Coturnix japonica: one gene and its partner. Each later gene encodes a partner of the first gene's protein in a complex. Links are inferred from orthologs where the notes say so. Each region holds a gene or a part of one and is shown in the gene's direction. Other genes may lie near its edges.

Region 1 (4,378 bases):
ATTTGCTCCTTGGAGAGAATTTTACTCTTAAAGATCAAGCTGCATTTCTGTGGAGTAGATTAATAGGATGTGATTGGACTTAAACAAAGCAAAATAAATATTTGTAAGTTCAGCCATAAGTCAGGATTTCTCTGTTCCCTGGTATGACTTTTGTTGTTTCGTTGTTGCCTTGTTGTTTTGCTTTGTTGTTGCTAGCTCCAGAATTCCTGGAAGATCTTTAACATATGTTCACTGAGTGCTTTTGCTTTTATCCATGTACAGAGAATGCTTGTCAGAGGGCCTTTACTCCCAGTCAGCCCAAACTCACATTGCCATTATCATGTTGTGCTGAACCTCTGTGAAAGTCACAGCCCTAGCCATGTCCAGCCTTGCTCCACTGGCTGCTCAGAGGGACCACCACTTGGATGTGCACATTCTTTGCAGAAATCACTTCTAATAGGTTGCTGAGATGGAAAGTCTCAGCAAATAAAGGAAATTCCAGAGATCTCCATGTACCTTCTATTGTGATATGTTATGACCACACATTCCCTTTCCTCAAATAAGGCCTTTTAGTACTTTGCAGAGCCAAACTCACATCCGCTCTGCTGATAACATGATGAAAAGTATCTGGAGTCATGTTCCCAGGGCATCACCATCAATCCAGTTCTCCCAAGCTAAGTATTCATCGTTTCCCCTTTTCCTCACACAGATGTTGCCCCCACACAGGGAGGACTGATTGCAAAAGCTGTTCGTATAAATATTTACAAAGGAAAAGCATGAACCAAAAAGGACTTGACATTTTTGAGAAAGATCATATGATGCAGGCTGGTGGGTTAGGAGGTGGCAGACCGAGTGAGGAGCTGCCCTCAAGACCGGTGCTCCTCTAGAGCTCTGAAGAAAGCTCTGACTGCCAGGCTGTTGCTTTAAACAGAAACCAGTGGGATTCTAAGGTATTTCTGGGGGATTAACAATGATAGTACCCAATGTGTATATTTCATCTGTGCCCAAATCCCCTGGGGAGCTGCTGCTGATGAAGTGAAGCACTCCTTCCCTCCTGCTGTGAACATGCCTACTTTCTTCTGCCTGTTTCAGCAAAAGACTCTGCTTTCTCTGTGCTGTAGCAGTTTCCAAACATCGATGACAGCCTTGGCAGAGCAGTTTCAGCTCCCCAGTGCCAGCCTCCTGCTGCAGCAAAGATATCTGTTTAAAAAAGTAATGCCACCAGCAGGGAACAGGTGGTATGTTGCAGCGAATCACAGAAAGTTGTAATAAGACAGAGGCAGAACGTGCAAGAGGGAGGGGAGGAAAAAATGAAAAAGAGCAGAACAAAGCTGAAGGGAAGCCCCGTGGTAAGAAGTTTTTCCTCCACTGCTTTTACACAGCACAGAGCAAAATGTTTTGCTGCTTTCCCAGCTCTGGGATCCAGTATGGCCCTGCGACGCACTCGCCCATTGTCCTCCCCACTGTTTGCTTAGAAGGAATTCAGGAGGGATTTGCTTTCTCTTGTTTCACAAGCCCCACGTTTTCACACTGCCCAAAGAGGATACGCACCAGCTGGCCACGTCCATCACTGCTGCTGGGACGTGAAATTCCTGATTATACTTAGAGCTGCAGAGCCTGCTCCGTCATTAGCAGGGCAGCTCGACGTGCAGCAGTGGGGACCGGGGCCGTGCTGGCCTGGCCCGGTGGTGTCAGGCACTCTTCGGACCAGAGATGAGAGATCTGCTGGTGGTGCCCCTGGGGTACATCCTCACCCTTGCTGCCCTCAGCCTGGCCGAGACACTTCAGAAAGGTTTGCTGGAAGGGCTCTGCTTGAACCGGGTGTTTTGTGAAGGGAAATGCATCTCTAGCAACAGTGGGGAGGACAGCAAGACTGCCATTAGCAATTGCATGAAAATCTACTGCTTTTAAGTCTGTCTGTTGAGTAGTTGCTTGGTTGCTGTTGTGAGGGATGGTGAGAATAGGTTGTATCTAGGAGGAGGGGTAGCAGTGAATCCGGTTGCATTGGGAAGGTGAAGGCTTTGGGTTCAGCCTGGGTGGGATGGACATGTCCTGTCACAGAGCTTGCTGCCGAGCATAGGGCCAGCACTGTTGCACCTGTGGGGATACACGGCTTAAAGACAGCACTCTGAGATCTGCGTAGCATGTGTATGTGGCTACAAATGTCCAACATGTCTGCTACATGAAGTAGAGAGTTGCTGCCTTGACTTCCTCTCTTGCATGTGTGCATACTTTCAGCAAATGCATGAACTGAAAAATTACCTGCTCATAATAGTCCCCTATATGCCAACATAAATACTGGTGTTCAGGACTTACCATCCAGTAAACCTATGGACAAAGGGCTTTATTCCACAGTGATTATCAGGAGGCATTCAGGGCTATGCAGTTTCAGGGATTTAAAAAAAAACCCAACAAGATAAACTTATAAACTTCAAGGAGGAGTCCAGGAGTCAGGATAGGCCAGCATTGCTGCTCTCACACTTTAGAAATGGAACTCAGGTTGGCCTCAAAATGAGGAAAGAATACCTGATTTTTGTGATTTAAGTCAAAATGTCAACTTTTTATGATGGCTGTAGAGTAAATTGGTGAACCCCACTCTGTTTCAAAGTGATGATAGGATGGAATCGGGCGGACAAGAGGATCAGTGAGGAATGTAACTGCCTCTTAGCTTGCTAGCATAGTACAATGAGGAGATGATGGGCATGTTCTCTTAAAACATAGTGGGTAGATGCATTACCCACACCTAAATGGCCTGGTAGCTTCTGGTGGGTGGGTGCAGCATGGGCTTTGGCTTTCCCATGGGCCCCGTGACTGCCATTGGATCATTTTGCTATCTTGGGAAACTACAGCTGACATCCACAAAAATGGCACCAGAGTAGCTTTGCAGATGTGCAGCTTAATTGATTTTCAGTGTTACCTAATCCCATAGGGTTACCTAAAAATTTCAGAGAGCCCCAATGCATGCACATGATACCATTTCTTTGTACTGATAAATACATATTGTAATGTTTTGTTTTTCCTCATTAAAATCTGCTAATAATGGCATCATAAGTTTTGACTGCTTTCCTGAGAAAGCTTGGAATGATGCTGATACCATAGCTTTTTGGATGGCCATTGTAAGGAGGCACCATCTCAACCATTTGGGGCTCTCTTACCAAGCACTGACAAAATGGCGGCGTGCTCCATTACTTCCTACATCCTGAAGGTAGGCCACATCCTAGGCCTGTGTCCCCTCAGTGAAAGGAGTACTGCCTTCATCCTCCCTGCTGCCCCTGTGTTTGATTTTAGAATGGGAAATAAAAAGAGCAAACAGGAGAATTATGCAGTGCTGTTGTAGCTCTGTAGAGCTTAAGAAGATAGGTGTAAAAAATTCCCTCTCTGTTCTGACCATAGGTGACGTAAGGCCGGATTGGACAGCATTCTCCATGAGGAGGGAGTAGGATTCTATTCCAAGAGTTGTGTGTTTGCTGTCAGGAGATGCCAGGGGGACACACTGCTAAGAGTAATGATGTCATATGTAAAATTGAGGAGAGACAGTGAAAGTACTTATCTGTTGCTAATGAATTGATTCATTGCATAAAACTGACAGGTTTACTTGGCTGAGAGAACAGTACCCTCATTGTACATACAGCAAATCTATCTTTATTATTCATCATGATGCTGTTTTCATAGTGACAATGCAATTACAAAACTGGCTGCTTTGAACTGTTTTTACTGCAAACATTACATTTCTAAGGATTAAAAAAGCATCATCCCAGAGATAAAGGCATGTGGGCAACAGCAATAAAAATGTACAGTATAAAATTGGATAATAAAACTCTATTTCAGTGAGTCTTAATTCCATCAAAACCTCATAAACTCTGTCACGAAAAAGCGGCGTCTCCTTTGAAGCAGACAGGATAACCATCAGTAGGAAGTTATTCTCCTAGGTCAGCTGCTAGTAGCAGGGAAATTTAGGCTTTCTGAAAATTTTCCACTTGGTTTCACTGAGATGTGATTCATCTGAGGATGCCGTGTGGATAATTATTTCTATTTAGTAGGACCTGGAGTGACCCTATAAATGGAATCCTGATACACTCTGAATTGGTCTTCTCAAGAACAAATCCGATGCAGATGTGGTTTAATTAGCATTTAATAATATAATTATTATATAAAAAATATAATATTTAGCACTACCTTTACTATATTTTAAAGTTTTTCTTTCTATATAAATACATCAATTACCAGCTATGGAATATGAAGTCATATAATCCAGAAATTATATCGAGGCAAGTTTGTGTTAAAGACATTATAAGGTGTCAGGGTGTCTTTGTAAAAAGTGTTGAAAGTCCATTCTTTCTTGCCTTACTTTCATTCCAACTGAACTCTAATGACATTCTAGTTTTTGCCCTTATGTAAA
Region 2 (4,528 bases), on another chromosome or scaffold:
AGATTTTTAACTCTTGTTTTTGAAATGCATGCTGTGAAGTACATAGCAAAGCTAATATAATCAGTAACTTATCATTCCTAAAACACATGGGCTGTTTCACTTGTAAACTTTCTATTTTCTGCACTTACTAGCCTCAATGACAAATCTGTGTTGAATTGTCATACTTGAATTCACTACATTGAATTTGTGGCTTTCTAAATGGCTTGTTTCTTTCTTTGTTGTTGTTGGCATTGCATTGATTTGATGGTGATTTTATGATCTGATGCTCCGCTGTGTGTTGAATGCACTACATTCAATCCACATTCCCAGACTGGGGTGGCAAGCAAATGCCCAGGGTTAGTAAAAGAGATCTATGCCTTAACTCTCACACCACTGAGAATGCTGTTCACATCCCTATAGGTGCTTCAGCACCTCCTGTCTTTTCTCTTGAGCATTTTCCAGTGGAAATGTTTCCCCTATTCTGCCCAGCTCTATTTAAGTGCTCATTGCTTGTGTTAAAATGAAATACAGCTAAAATTTACCAGGAAAGTTTCTCTGATGTTTTTTTCCCTAACATTTAACTTGAAATAGAATTAGAATGCAAAACCAGTTGAACAAACACGTTCCCAATTAATTACGACACACACTTAAGGGTGGTTTTATTAAATTACAGGTTATTCCATGCAAACTGTCCAATTCAAAGAGAAGAAATAAAAGCAAACATCTAAAAAAAACCCCTTCTATTGTGCTATTGAAAGAAAAATGTGCTGTGCTGCTGTTGGGGAAAAAAAAACCAACAAAAAACTGAAGGACTAATTACCATCAAATAAGATGCAAGAGGAGTATTTTTAGAATAATGGACTCTAATTAGTCCATTTCTCATTGAAATGAATTTAAGGACATAATTAACACATCCTATTCTATAAATTGTAGCAGCACCGGTTTTGGGGTAAGTGGGCTGTAATCTCATGGCAGTTGCATTGCAAAGGAAAAGAAATAAGTGTTTTTATTAGAGGTGGGCTATGACTTTGAGAGCCAAGGGAAGGGGTAGTCACACTTTTTGAAAGAGGAATGGAGAAGGGAACGATCCAGGGAGACCTTGTAATCTTCTAATACTCGAAGCGAGCTTATAAACAGAAGGGAAATGGAGTTTTTACATGGTCTGACAGTGGGAGGACAAAGGAGGGTGGCTTTAAACTAAAAGATGGGATATTTAGGAAGGAATTCTTTACTCAGAGGGTAGCGGGGCCTGGCACAGGCTGCCTGGAGAGCTGTGAGTTCCCCATCCCTGGACGTGCTCAAGGTTGGGTTGGATGGGCACTGGGCAGCCTAAGCTGGTGGGGGGCACCCAGCCCACGGCAGGGCTTGGGGACGGGTGGGTTTTATGTCCCTTCTAAGTCAGAACATTGCGTGGCTCCATGAATTCTGGCTGCCGGGTGCAGCTCCGCCGTACAGAGGGCAGCGATGATTCCGCTCCGGGCTTTCCCTCCGGCCCCGGCGCTGGAGGAGCTGGGCTGCCCGCAAAGCTCGGCACCTCCAGGGGTCTCGGCCGGAGCAGATCGACGGGAGCAGCCTTCATCAGGCTGTGGGTGCTCCGGTTCTCATGTGCATGTACTTAAACCCTGCAGAAGCGATAAAACGCAAACAAGCGCAAACTCCACAAAGCAATAAAATAAGTTAACACAGAACCGGCGGGGAGCTTTATAGGACCCCCCCTCAGCCGGAGCCGGTCCGGCCTCTGAGCTGGCGGGGCGGGGGGCGCGGGGAGGGCCGGGCAGCGCTGGCCGATCGCCCGCCGAGCTCGCTGTGCCTCAACGGGGACCTACTAAAGCTATTTTGAAAGTGACCCCTCGGCCAGAGAGCGGGGAGGGAGCAGCGAGCCGGGCGCAGCTGTCCGGAATCATGACTGAAGATGACGGATTCCGTGGTGGTGGAGGGTCACGTCAAGTTGAGAGAAGGAAAAAAGGTCCGAGTTCCCCTGTGCCCTTTCGGTTCGGCCACGCGGCCGGCACGGGCTGGGGGTCTCCGACCGACGCCCCCTCCTCACGAGGGGAATAGAGCCCTCTCTTCCCTCTCCCGGCCCTGGCTAACCCTGTCTTTTTGCCTCTCCTTGCAGTGGAAGAATAGGTGGCTGGTGCTGCGCAAGCCCTCCCCGGTGGCAGGTAAGAGCGGAGCGGGGACCCTGTGCCTGGGAGCGGAGGGGGGAGAGAGACCGGCGGCCGCGGGGCCTTTCCTCCGCCTGCCGGGGGTGCGGGGCACAGGGAGAGGGAGAAAAGCTCTTTACGGGGCACCCCGTCGGGTGTGCTGTTTCAGGCAGTGACCCCTCGGCTGGAGGTTTCCACGAGCCGTCGTTGCTCTTTCCTCCTTTAAAATAACATTAATAATAACAACGAAAGAAATATCTATTTATTTTCTTTTTTGGGCTCAGCTGGCGGAGAGCCAGGCGGCCAGAAATAGAAAGAGGATATCGAAGGAGACCCCGCCGAAGCGTAACGAACGCCGAGAGTTTAGTTCCCGTTTCAAACGCTTGCTTTTAGAAATTACTTCTTCGGGGGGTGATTGGTGGCTGTGAAAGGCTGCCATTGTGAGCTCTGTGGTTATTTTTGTTCTGTGTTTTGACACGGAGCGTTTCAATTTAAAAATAAGATGTCATCTTGAATTAAAAACTTCAGTTCCACCGTTTGCAAGGGAGAACTGAAAATGTTATGAAGAGTTGATGTTTTAATGCTGGAGAAGGAAAAGGAGGCTTCATGTTTCCCAATATATATATATTTTTTTAACTTTTATTTTTAATGGGAAAACCATTTAGCCTCAAAAGTATTTATTCCTGGGGTAAGTTGTTGCCTATTTTCCAAACGTGGATCTACATTGCCTCTGAATTCATTACAGAGCCCTTTCTGGCTGGTAGAGTGGCTATATCTTGGTCTTTAGACCAATTTTTTGGTATGGGTTTTTACAGTTTAATGTTGATATTTTTGTTACTACATTTGTTAAACTTCTCTCCACGAACGGGCAACTCTAGATAGTACAAGTCACCATCCAGACATACAGGTATGGGCCTGGATGTCTAACCAAATATAAAAGGGAAAAATAGGGGAGTTCCAAAAGTAAACTTATAATGTTATTCCTCAAAAAATGCTGTTTTCATTCTACCAAACGTATGAAGATCTACCAGAAATTCCCCTCCCCCCAAAGATTTGCTTCACTCGCTCTGTATGCCATAGCAGTTCTTTCTTCAGATGCACAACTGCACAGCAGAAGTATCATAGTGGCAGCTGTTTTTGCTAACAGGTGCAAGAAAACAATTGGGACGGCATGTAGACGATTGGCGAGCAGGCTTTGGGTCTTTCAGTTGTTTTTTCAGCTCTTCGGAGCTTTCCCAGGCTGTTTCCCAGCTGAGTGTTGCAGGGCTCCTTGCCAGGTCTGATGCACCACACCCCAACATTCATGTAATGGTGCACAGGAGCTTCCTCCTGGTGGCATGCAGGGCAGCTACGGATGTGTACCATTAATTCAGGTTATAACCCAGTGATGTGCAATAGGAAGGGAACCTGGGTGACCATTAATTTGGGTTATAACCCAGTGATGTGCAATAGGAAGGGAACCTGGGTGAAAATGAATGCTCTTTTTGTTGTATGCAAAAGGTGGGAAAATGATGCTCCCTTTGTTTTTGTCTGAAACATGCTTTTCTTAGAGCACCGTGATGCTTGAGTCACATTCTTCCACTGCATGTTTACTGTCATAGTATTACTATATACTATACTATCTATATTATAACATGCTCAGGAAGGGGTTAAAGACAAATGGTGACATGTTTAAAAAGACATAAACAAATAGAGGTGTGGCACATAATGATTATTGAGCATGGCTACTGTGTAGCATTTCACTGGGAAACCTGAGCTGACACAATGTCTGGCAGTGCGGGCAGGCTGCTCACCATTTAGTAGTTGAGTAATCTGTTAACTACTGTAAGAATTTCGTTTGTGGTTCAGTATGTTCTCATGGAAATAAAGATGACAATAGCCTCGCGGTTCTTAGCACTTGTAATATGGATAGCAATCATACTCCAGCTTCTAACGCTCAAAATTAACGAGTCAATCCCTTCAAAACTTGGGAGACAATGCAAAAAAGAAATCAGTGTGTTTTTGCAAAGTAATTGGGAAGACTTTTTTTCTTGTCTTTGTATTTCTGAGCCCACAGATGACTGCTGAAATATGCCTGCTCCCTGAATGTGGACTGCAGCCTGTCTGGGTAGGGTGGGGGAAGGAAGCTGAGATCTAGTATTGGCTTGATCAGACTGATCTGCAGTTGTCTGAAGCACTTTTCTTAGTACTTTGCTTTGGTACAAACGTGTTGTGTTCTGTTCTGCCTCATCATCTCTGACAGTTTTGCTTCTTTTAGACTGTTTGCTCATGCTGGTGTACAAGGATAAATCTGAACGATCAAAAGGGCACAAGGAGAGAAGCAGCGTGACCTTAGAAGACATCTGTGGCTTGGATCCTGGGCTCTCCTATGAGGGCTTGAATCACACCCTTGCAATCATCTGTCT

The links.
Region 2: the proteins of MUSK (region 1) and DOK7 are in contact, whole or in part, in a crystal structure (PDB 3ML4), measured with the Mus musculus proteins. The link is inferred for Coturnix japonica from reciprocal best matches to the Homo sapiens genes MUSK and DOK7. Residues at the interface, in NP_035074.2 of Mus musculus: Leu547, His548, Pro549, Asn550, Pro551, Met552, Tyr553, Gln554, Arg555; in NP_001335203.1 of Mus musculus: Leu154, Ser155, Asp156, Leu157, Arg158, Arg159, Tyr160, Gly161, Gly172, Thr173, Arg174, Ser193, Asp197, Val200, Arg201.

What each region holds. Positions count from the first base shown.
Region 1 is NC_029547.1:59,222,945-59,227,322, forward strand, and holds the start of MUSK (muscle, skeletal receptor tyrosine-protein kinase), read left to right. Parts: upstream 1-1,554; 5' UTR 1,555-1,692; coding exon 1,693-1,771; intron 1,772-4,378.
Region 2 is NC_029519.1:74,389,789-74,394,316, reverse strand, and holds the start of DOK7 (protein Dok-7), read left to right. Parts: upstream 1-1,714; 5' UTR 1,715-1,891; coding exon 1,892-1,945; intron 1,946-2,095; coding exon 2,096-2,141; intron 2,142-4,365; coding exon 4,366-4,528. UniProt on the Homo sapiens protein: Probable muscle-intrinsic activator of MUSK that plays an essential role in neuromuscular synaptogenesis. Acts in aneural activation of MUSK and subsequent acetylcholine receptor (AchR) clustering in myotubes. Induces autophosphorylation of MUSK.